Linked DNA regions of Rattus norvegicus. The protein of the gene in region 2 purifies or fractionates together with the protein of the main gene of each other region. This does not show direct contact. Links are inferred from orthologs where the notes say so. Each region holds a gene or a part of one and is shown on either strand. Other genes may lie near its edges.

Region 1 (5,376 bases), on a different chromosome or scaffold from region 2:
TGCATGTGGCTGAGGGGAGCAAATGTGAGTTTTGGGACATGACAACCAGAGCAGGGAGCGGAAGTTGCTGGGGTAATACTGAGGGAGCAGAGCGGGGGTGGGGGATGGGGTGGGGGTGGGGGATAGTTTCCTCAGGGATCTGACATCTCTGCTCCTGTGTCCACAGCACCTTGGCACCACATTGAAAACCTTGACCTCTTCTTCTCTCGAATATCCTTTGTGTCTCTGCATAGGAGCTCTTCTACCCTTTCTCTGAGCTAGCTCTCTGATGGGAAATGGGGATAAGCTCCGCCCCAGTCCATGGACAGGGAAATGAAACTCATTGAAATAACAATTGTTAAAAGTAATGATACCTCGTATTAGCGGAGAGCTCTATGCCCTTGTGTTAATTAATGAAGAACTTTTCTAAGGGTGTTAGTTGTTAATGGTAATAATGTCTTTGGACTCTGTCATTTCCGTGTTAAGTAGTTTGTATTTTCCTAGACCCAATAACCCTAAAAGGAGGGTATGTCTGTTATCAATTTGCCACTGTGGGCAAAGCTGAGGGAAGTAACCTGTTAAAGATCACACTCCAGAGAGTTATGGAGCCAGGACTTCAGCTTGAGAGTGTGTAGACATCAACGTCTATATTAAGTGTCTTTGCTTACTGGCCACTTTTTCTTAACACTTACACGTTTATAATCTACATCAGAAGAATGGGTTCACATGTATGCTCATTGGAGAGATTTTTGAACTCATGTAAGTATACGAAGGGATGCATGCTATAGTAAAAGAATAAATATAGTAAATATTCTTGTCTTCCCTTTTGCTCATGCCTGGCTACACGTGCAACTGCAACACAATCCTAGGCCCCAAACTCTACAAACCTTTCTATCTCAGGACCAGGTATAACTTTTTTTTTAAAGATTTATTTATTATTTAATGTATATGCGTACACTGTAGCTATCTTCAGACACACCAGAAGAGGGCATCAGTCCCACTATAGATGGTTGTGAGCCATCATGTGGTTGCTGGGAATTGAACTCAAGTCCTGTGGAAGAGCATTCAGTGTTCTTAACCTCTGAGCCATCTCTCCAGCCCCAGGTATAACATTTAAACCTATAGCCTTGCCTCTTGTAAGAAGAGCTTCCCAGTTTCTATCTCTCACATAGCAAGAACTTACAACTTAGTCACTTCACTAAGCTATAGGAGGAGGTGTGTGTGTGTGTGTGTGTGTGTGTGTGTGTGTGTGTGTGTGTTTTAGTCAGGAGCTCTTGGAGCCTGTATGCTGCCTGACTGCACATTAGCCATGCTGCTGGAGTGGGGAGAGAGAGTCTGGTGTTGCCAGAGGGGAGGATTTGGGGTTTGTTTGTTTGTTTGTTTTTGTTGTTGTTTCATGGTTTTGTTTGTTTTTATTTCTGTTTGGGTTTTTCAGACAGGATTTCTCCAGGTAACCCTGGAGGCTGTCCTAGAACTACCTTTGTAGGTCAGCATGACCTTAAACTCAAAGACATCCACCTGCCTGAGTGCTGGAATTAAAAACATGGGTCCCCACACCCAGCAGAAAAGGAGTTCTTGATGATAAGAAAGGAATTCATGGCTGGGTGTGCTGATGCACACCTCTAATCCCAGCACCGGGGAGGCAGAGGCAGGTAGATCTTTGTGAGTTCAAGGCCAGCCTGGTTAGATCAAGTGAGTTCCCGGACAGCCGGAGGTACACAGAGAAACCCTGTCCAGAAAAACAAAACCAACCAAAGAAACAAAAGATTGCTAAAAGTTTGGGCAATTGAGATGGCTCAGCAGAATAAGGCACTTGTGTGTATCCTGTTGACATGAGTTGGATCCCCAGTCAAAGACTAAAGACCATCATCATCAAACCTCTGAAAATCAAGTCCAGTGGCGGTGGTGGCAGCGGCGGCAGCATTCTATCACACACAATGAAGCAGGCTGCTTCTGAAGTACCTGAACCTAAGAGTAAAACATAGGAGCAAGTTGTGCCATTAAGGTCTTATGAGATTAAGCAGTAGCAGAGGCCATTGGGAACACTCCAGCCCCTTTAATTTCCTCTCTTGTTGAGCACTCGCTAGCCTCTCTGCTCACTGCACTTTATTTCACCAGCACCTCCCTGACTCACGGCCTGCATCCCTCCTTCCCCACTCCCAGGCAGTTCCTCTTTGTGGTTGCCTTCACCACCTTCCTGGTTAGCTGTGTGGACTATGACATCCTATTTGCCAACAAGATGGTGAACCACAGTCTGCATCCTACCGAGCCTGTCAAGGTCACTCTGCCAGATGCCTTTTTGCCTGCCCAAGTTTGCAGTGCCAGGTGAGGATGGTCCTGAGACCCTGCTAATGAGTAGAGGGGAGAGTGGGGTGCGAAGCAGCAACTCACACGCCAGAACGTGTTGCTAAGACTCCATCCTCAAGGACCCTACTTTTGCCCCATCTTTTTCCATACCAGGATTCAGGAAAACGGCTCCCTCATCACCATCCTGGTCATCGCTGGTGTCTTCTGGATCCACCGGCTTATCAAGTTTATCTATAACATTTGCTGCTATTGGGAGATCCACTCCTTCTACCTACATGCTCTGCGGATCCCAATGGTAAGACCGGAAGTTGGACCATTAGCCACACAGCCCAAGAGATCTTAGCAAGGATGCATTCCTGAGCATTACGTGTCTGTAGCTCTCACTGGCAGGTGTCATAATCAGGGTTCTGTTAATATGAAAAAAATGTCTGAGACGATCAGCGTTCTAAAGAGAAAGGTTGATTTTGCCTCCGTTTTGGAGATATTAGTCTATCGTTGGTTGATAATATTGGTTGATTCAGTTGCTGAGGGGCCTGTGCTGAGGGAGTATATCATGGCAAGAGCACATGACAGAGGAAGCCTATTCACTTCATGGCAACCAGGAAGTAGAGAGGAATGCAGGAAGGGGTGGGATCTAAAGCCCCAATTAATCTCGTCTAAGAGCAGCCCCTTATTGGCAAAGGACCAAGCCCTTAACACATGAGCCTTTGAGGGGCATTCCAGGTCTGAACTGGAGCAGGTCAGGAAATAGCTCTAAACACACGACTTACATCTTACATCTGTGTTGAACAACGGGTTCAGCTAACACCTCTGCTCTGTCTCTTGTCCACGCCGTCCTGCAGTCTGCCCTTCCGTATTGCACGTGGCAGGAAGTGCAGGCCCGGATTGTGCAGACCCAGAAAGAGCATCAGATCTGCATCCACAAGCGTGAGCTGACAGAGTTGGACATCTACCATCGCATCCTCCGTTTCCAGAACTACATGGTGGCACTGGTGAACAAATCCCTCTTGCCTCTGCGCTTCCGTCTGCCCGGCCTCGGAGAGGTTGTCTTCTTCACCCGTGGCCTCAAGTACAACTTTGAGCTCATCCTCTTCTGGGGACCCGGCTCTCTGTTTCTCAATGAATGGAGCCTCAAGGCCGAGTACAAACGTGGAGGGCAACGGCTAGAGCTGGCCCAGCGTCTCAGCAACCGCATCCTGTGGATTGGCATCGCCAACTTCCTGCTCTGTCCCCTCATCCTCATCTGGCAGATCCTCTATGCCTTCTTCAGCTATGCCGAGGTGCTGAAGAGAGAGCCGGGAGCCCTGGGAGCGCGTTGCTGGTCACTCTATGGCCGTTGCTACCTCCGCCACTTCAATGAGCTAGAACACGAGCTGCAGTCCCGCCTCAACCGAGGATACAAGCCCGCCTCCAAGTACATGAATTGCTTCTTGTCACCGCTACTGACTCTGCTGGCCAAGAATGGTGCCTTCTTCGCGGGCTCTATCCTGGCCGTGCTTATTGCTCTCACGATCTACGATGAAGATGTGTTGGCTGTGGAGCATGTCCTCACCACTGTCACCCTACTGGGAGTCACGGTGACTGTGTGCAGGTGTGCCAGGGCGGTGCGGGGACTAGCAGAGCGGCCTTCTGGGAAGGGCTCGTGTCTCACCATGCACCTGATCCCACTAGGTCTTTCATCCCAGACCAGCACATGGTGTTCTGCCCTGAGCAGCTGCTCCGAGTGATCCTTGCCCACATCCACTACATGCCTGACCACTGGCAGGGTAATGCCCACCGCTCGCAGACCCGGGACGAGTTTGCCCAGCTCTTCCAGTACAAGGCAGTGAGTGGAGTTGGAGTTAGGGCCTGCTAGAGACTGACTGGTATCTTGGTGACAAGGGCTGGACTGTGTCCTGCTTGTGAGTAACCTGTCCCTCCCTTTCAGGTGTTCATCTTGGAGGAGTTGCTGAGTCCCATTGTTACACCCCTCATTCTCATCTTCTGCCTACGCCCACGGGCCCTGGAGATCATAGACTTCTTCCGAAACTTTACTGTGGAGGTCGTCGGTGTGGGGGACACCTGCTCCTTTGCGCAGATGGACGTTCGCCAGCACGGTCATCCTCAGGTACTGGGAGAGGTCAGGGCAGATGGCCAGGAACAAGGCTGGCACACAGTAAGCTTCGGGAAAACTGCAAATGGCTACCCTTTCCGAGCCGACAGATGACAAAAAGTGTAGCTCGCCTGTGGGCATCCCCGCACCAGGGACACGCGGTTTGGTGACCAGGAATCTGGCTGGATTCCGTCCCTGGTTTGAACCATGAGCCACACTCCCTTAGTATAGTACTAGCGACTGACCTGTATATGGCCACTCTTGGGATGGGCATCAGGGCTTTGACAGATGTGACAATGCCCTGCTGTCTCTGTCCCCTGGAAGGGCTCCTGTAAGCAGTCAGGCCTGCTCACGTCTTCTCCCTTACGCAGTGGCTGTCTGGAGGGCAGACTGAGGCCTCAGTGTACCAGCAAGCCGAGGATGGGAAGACCGAGTTGTCACTCATGCACTTTGCCATCACCAATCCTGGCTGGCAGCCCCCTCGTGAGAGCACAGCCTTCCTGGGCTTCCTCAAGGAGCAGGTGCAGCGAGATGGAGCGGCTGCTGGCCTTGCCCAGGGTGGTCTGCTCCCAGAGAATGCCCTTTTCACATCCATCCAGTCCTTACAGTCTGAGTCTGAGGTGTGTATCTGGGGCCTGGGTGATGATGGGCAGTGGATTGTGGTTAGAGGAATGGCACGGGGCACAGGGTGCAAGATTTTTCCCTGTTCAATCTGGGCTGTTGGGTCCTGAGGCTTAGGACATTGGAGGACCTAGAGGCCTCTCCCTCTCCTGAGAATTCTGCATAACCCCATTTTTTCCCCATAGCCACTGAGCCTCATTGCAAATGTGGTAGCAGGCTCGTCCTGCCGAGGACCCCCACTGTCCAGAGACCTGCAGGGTTCCAGGCACAGGGCTGATGTTGCTTCTGCCCTTAGATCCTTCTCCCCTCTACAGCCTGGACAGGCCCCTCAAGGCCGTGTTCCCAGTACCATGACAGGCTCTGGGTGAGTGGAAGTG
Region 2 (5,376 bases):
AGGACTAAGCCCCAAGTCTGAGCCAGGCCAGGGACATGTGGTAAGCATTCAGAGGAGCCTTGGTGACAGAAAGTGTAAGGTTTAAGGGGTAGCTTCTGGATGCTGCATTTAGGAGCAAGACTAGGAGAGCCCAGCTAGGTGGAGAAGCAGCCAGGGCCAGGCCTCTCTTCTTTCTGTTGGTGACAAAGCCCCTACAGTCCTCTGCTCTACCAACTGAGCTATCGAAGGAAGCCGACAAAGCCCTTCTGAGGAGAATGCTATACATGTCTATTCACTCCAAATAGGGAGCCCACAGTAGACCCAAGGATGGGCCATTTCCTTTCAGGTATCCTTGGAAGCTGCCCACTGGGTCCATATAAAGTCTGGTCATAGGGAAGCCAACACAGGTTAGAAAATTGTTAAGGCTGCTGGCTCTGCTGTGACGCAGTCTGCAGTTTTGCGTGTTCTCCTAACACTAATTATGGCCTGAACAAATGGACACATACATAAAATCAATCTGTAGATTTAGTACGACATCAGAAAGACATGAGAAACTCTCTCTCACCAGTGCAAACACAGCACAGCTACAAGCATTTCATGCAAGTGAGCAGCAGGGGAAGCCACCACCAAGGTCTCAGCCAGCTAGGCGTTATGTGTGGACATCCATGGAGATAATAGTGATAGCAGTCACTTCACTAACATGAAGACGACCAGGTGTAATGGCACTTCTACCTACCTTACAGCCCAGCTGAGGCTTGAATAATTGAAAGGAAAAGTGGAGGGCTACAGAGATGGCTCAGTGGTAAAGAGCATAGGTTGCTCTTCCAGAAGACCCAAGTTCAATCCCCAGCACCCACATGGTGGCTCATCACTGGCTTTAACTCTAGTTCCAGGGGATCCAATGCCTTCTTCTGGCCTGCAAACATGCAGGTAAAATATGTCTACAAATGATGCCTTTAAAAAGTAAAAAACAAAATGTTGTTTAAACAGGTAAAGAGTTTAAATCCAACTGGTACCCTACATGGATGGAGAAGGACACTCGCGGAGGTCATCAGGTTATTGGGTGAAGTCCCTGTGCCATGGGCAGACTATCTCCTGGGAGGTGCTGCAGGACACCCTGAAGCTCCATGAGCCATGCAGGCCGCTGCTGCTGTTGTACAGCAGAACCGGATGGTAAGAGCCTATTGTTGAAGACACTGCACTTGGACTGCAGAACATGGGGAAATTAAGTTGGAACCAAATGGAAACTCCCACCCTGCTGGTTGGCTTTCCTAGTGCCAGAAAGGGCTGTGAGGGCTGTTGATGAACAGTTATCAACACTCCTGCTCAGCTATGGACCCAGTGTGCTCAAACACCACATGTGCACTACTGGCACAGATATCATGGGTGACACCAACACCTTTCTATTGGACTTTAGGCCCACTCTACAAGGGAGTTCACAAATGCTAATATACATCAGGGAAAAAACCCTATGCCTGGGAGGGAGAGCAGGGCAGGAACTGCAAGGGAAGACCATGTCCCTGGGAAGAGGTGGCATCTGTGCCTGTAGGGGTTACACGCATGCACACATTTACTGACGAGGGGACTGGCAGCTGAAGAGCTCCTGCACAGCCAGATCTCCAGAGGTCTGCTCAAAGCCCAAAGTGGTGGGTGCAGCCACGGTGGGTCTCCACCTGGCATCACACTTGATTTGAGGCTGAAGCAGGGCTGAGGATGTAGGGCACATGAGATCTTCCCACCCCTACTCCTACCCTGTTCCCCTCATTTGTCCACTCCTGCTCCTGACAGTGTGGCCATACACAGCAGCCAGAAATCTCTAGACCACAAGGCCACCTATAGCCAGTCCACCCCATCCAAAGACCTACCCCATTTAACATGACACATCTCCAGAGGACAACTTCAGGCCCAGTTGGCTCCCACTCTTGCCCTGTGTCTCTCCCCTCCTCCCACAGCTGCAGCTTCTGGAATACTTAGCATTCCCTGTGTCCTCTGTGTGAGGCCTGTGTCCTCTGGCTGCCCAGCTCTTCTGTGCTGGTGGGCAGGCGTGTCATCCCCAAGGCCTGACTCCACAGCATAGGGATACGGTACAGGTTGTTGTGCTTAATCCACATGAAACGAACGCCACCATGGGCCAAGATAGGTGACAGCATGCCCTCCTCCTCCTTCTCCATCAGAATGGGCATGAAGTGCTCCACCTCTGACATGTCCACATCCCCACGGTAGTTCCTGCAGATGAGCACCTGCATTAGGAAGGAAAGAAGGGGTGGCTTCCTCTGAGGGTCTGAGGTAGGGGTGGGGACCATCTGTGAAGGGACACAACTTGAGGCTAGTCTGATTTTCACCCTATGAAGTCCCACCACAAGGCTCTTCCTTCAGCAGAAGGTGGAGAAAGGAGGGACTGATCCCCTCAGACACTGGGCCAAGCCTTGCCCTATGAGCACTCCATGCAGACCCTCTCAGTGTCTTTGCTGTGCTGGCACACTTGGCTCTCCTGAGCACCTGATCCCAGAGGAGTCCAAGTTCATGGGATCCCACTGAAGCCTGTACAGGAATAGCCCTGCCCTGGTCTTCCTCCTTGCATGGTGTCTGAACCACTGTCCATCATCCTGTGAAATAGCCAAAGTTGGTGGCTCCTCAGAAAGTGACACCAGAGTTAAGTATGACCCAGTGGCTCATCCTAGAGAATCAGAGAAGCTGTGTGTCCATGGGCACTCAACGGAGAATGAAGCCGGGAGTGGGTTCAAGGAGCCTCGGCACATCTCAAATCCACTATGTAGCCAAGGATAGCCTTGAATTCCTGTTTCTCCTGCTGCTACCTCCTGAGTGCTGGGATGACAGGTATGAGCCAGTCCACATAAATGAACACCCCAGTGGCTGAATCTTAAATAGAGCCACACCAGAGACAAAAGGACTTGTCTTGCAACAGATGTATGGAGAATCTGGCTGTTCCAGGACCCCAGGATTCCAGAATCTGAGGGCCCTCCAATACAGTGCTGTGGTATCTAAGGACAGCCTGCTCTGACAAAAAACATTCCTGAGGCTTTTGCTTTGTCGTGATGATTTCACTATGTAGCCCAGGCTAGCCTCAAACTCACGGCAGTCCTTCTGCCTCCAGAGTGGTTAGGTTATAGGCATGAGATACCAAACCCAGTTCAAATGCAACACCTTTCCCTCTCCCCGACCCCTCTCTCTTTGTGCTGCCACCTCAGATGATCTAGCTAGCCAGCAGGCTCCTGGGATCACGGGCTGCCATACCCTCCTGGTATTATGTGGGTCCTAGGAATCTGTACTCAGTTCTTCACACTTATATAGCAAACTGTTTCCCTGCTAAAAATACTTTGTCAAGCATGGTATGACACCTCTAATCCTAGCACTTGGAAGCAGAGGTAAGGAAGTTTACATAGTAAGTTTCAGACTGAACACAGTGAGACCCTGTCTTTTTAAAAAATCCTAGGTTTGCTGGGAATGACAGTGCAGGCCTTTAATCGCAGCACCCAGGAGGCAGAGGCTGGTGGATCCCTGAGTTTGAGGCCAGCCTGGTCTACAGATCAAGTTCCAGGACAGCCAGGGCTACACAGAGAAACCTGTCTCAAAAAACAAACAGGAGGTGGAGAGATGGCTTAGCAATGAAGAACACTGGCTGCTCTTGCAGAATCCCCAGAATCACATAGAAGTGCACGCCTATCCACGACTCCAGTTCCAGGGCTTCTGACACCCTCACACATGCAGTCAAATACTAACAACCATAAAATAAAAATTATGTGTGTGTATGTGCATACACACACACACACACACACACACATATATGCATACATATACAGATACACACTATGTATGTATATAAAACCAAATAAGCAAATAAATAAATCCCAGGAGTTGGGAAATGGCTCGTTACTTAAGTGCACTGCTATTCTTTTTTTTCCAGAGCTGGGGACCGAACCCAGGGCCTTGGCTTGCTAGGCAAATGCTCTACCACTGAGCTAAATCCCCAACCCCATGCACTGCTATTCTTTCAGAGGACCCAGGTTCAGTTCCCAGCTTCCACATTGGGTAGCTCACAAGTGCTCGTAACTCTAGCTGTAGGGGATCTGATGTTTACTTCTGGCCTCCAGGGACGCCTGCACACGTTCGCACATACCCGTATCCCTCTCGCCTCCCCACACACTTAGTAAAAAAAAAAAAAAAAAAACAAAAAAAAAACACAAAACCATTCGTGGTCAGCTGAGGGCAGATAAGAATGTGAACGCAGGACATGGGACTCTGAGCTGCAGGACATGAGGACGCCCAGGTAGGCTCTACCCTCAGAGTCACTGTGCATAGTGAAAGGAACCAAACAGGAATTGCTCCTTGGAATTACCCTGAGGAAATGGCTGCAGGAAGGGGCCATGAGGAAGCTGTGGGTGAGGGTTGAGGAGGTCCTGGTTACTTGGTGACAGTGCCTGTCTTGTCACGCTGCCTGCTGTCAGCATGGCTGGTTGGCCATGTGGCAGTGCTGCAGTTCTCCTGAGCTGCCACGCTAGACTGGCACCACCTGCTGCTGCATTTGCTCCTCAGAAAGCACGGTCTCTGCTGCTTCTAGCTGGGAGAGTGCAGTGAGGACGCTTCCTTCTGAGTTCTTTTTGGGCCTTGTGCAGACACAGCACACAAGGGGTAAGCTTTTGGGTCTGATGCTCCTTACCTCAGCTGAGGGACTCCCACTTGCCCACTTTTATTCCTCTTGCTACCTCTTATATGGTTGGCTGGTTAGTTTTACAGACTACAGTGCCCAGAGAGGTGGAGCTGCCTGCCTGAGGTAACACAGCACAGAGATCAGGGCTAGGATCTCCAAGACATCCTTACTCCCACTTACTGTGTGTTTGCCTGTGCTCACCAAGAACTGCTGTACTGGAAGGGAAGTCTACAGCCTCCCTGAGAAGCTTTCCAGAGGCAGGTCTGATCAAACCCCATCCTGGGGACTCCTCCCTGGAACTTCGGTGGCCGTGGAGCCTCCTCCCATTGGGCCCCCAAGGTCCCAGAACAGTCTATGGGCAACCTTTACACCCTACATGCCAACTGGGACATCTGTCACCTTCTCAGAACCACATCAGGTGTCTGCTCTGCCTGGAAGTCTTTTGTAACCTTCTCTGAATGCCAAACAGAAGGCCAACAACTGTTTGGCTGCTGGTTCAAGTGTTTCCTGCTAGGCCAAGAGGCCTGTGGAGCCCAAGTACCACGTTCTGTGGGCCTTTCCAGGGCAAGGCTTGTCCCACATCTACACTCAGTAACTCAGGAGACTCCAGATCCATTAGGAAGGCAAAGCTAAGACAGGCCAAGGTGCTTGTCTATGATCACACAGCTCAGCTGCAGAGATCCACATGTAAATCTAGCCCTCCAGCTTCAGCCCAGGATGGGTACTTG

Evidence for each region. The genes of interacting proteins can lie anywhere in the genome.
Region 1: the proteins of Ap1m1 (region 2) and Atg9a purify together in Homo sapiens (affinity purification with western blotting, with the first as the bait; 3 studies listed by BioGRID). This does not show direct contact. The link is inferred for Rattus norvegicus from reciprocal best matches to the Homo sapiens genes AP1M1 and ATG9A.

Annotation. Positions count from the first base shown.
Region 1 is NC_086027.1:84,129,665-84,135,040, reverse strand, and holds part of Atg9a (autophagy-related protein 9A), read left to right. Parts: coding exon 1-24; intron 25-166; coding exon 167-210; intron 211-673; coding exon 674-738; intron 739-2,142; coding exon 2,143-2,304; intron 2,305-2,439; coding exon 2,440-2,581; intron 2,582-3,128; coding exon 3,129-3,877; intron 3,878-3,957; coding exon 3,958-4,111; intron 4,112-4,213; coding exon 4,214-4,393; intron 4,394-4,749; coding exon 4,750-4,998; intron 4,999-5,184; coding exon 5,185-5,363; intron 5,364-5,376. UniProt on the Homo sapiens protein: Phospholipid scramblase involved in autophagy by mediating autophagosomal membrane expansion. Cycles between the preautophagosomal structure/phagophore assembly site (PAS) and the cytoplasmic vesicle pool and supplies membrane for the growing autophagosome.
Region 2 is NC_086034.1:17,629,153-17,634,528, forward strand, and holds part of Ap1m1 (AP-1 complex subunit mu-1), read right to left. Parts: intron 2,220-5,376; coding exon 2,063-2,219; intron 1-2,062. UniProt on the Homo sapiens protein: Subunit of clathrin-associated adaptor protein complex 1 that plays a role in protein sorting in the trans-Golgi network (TGN) and endosomes.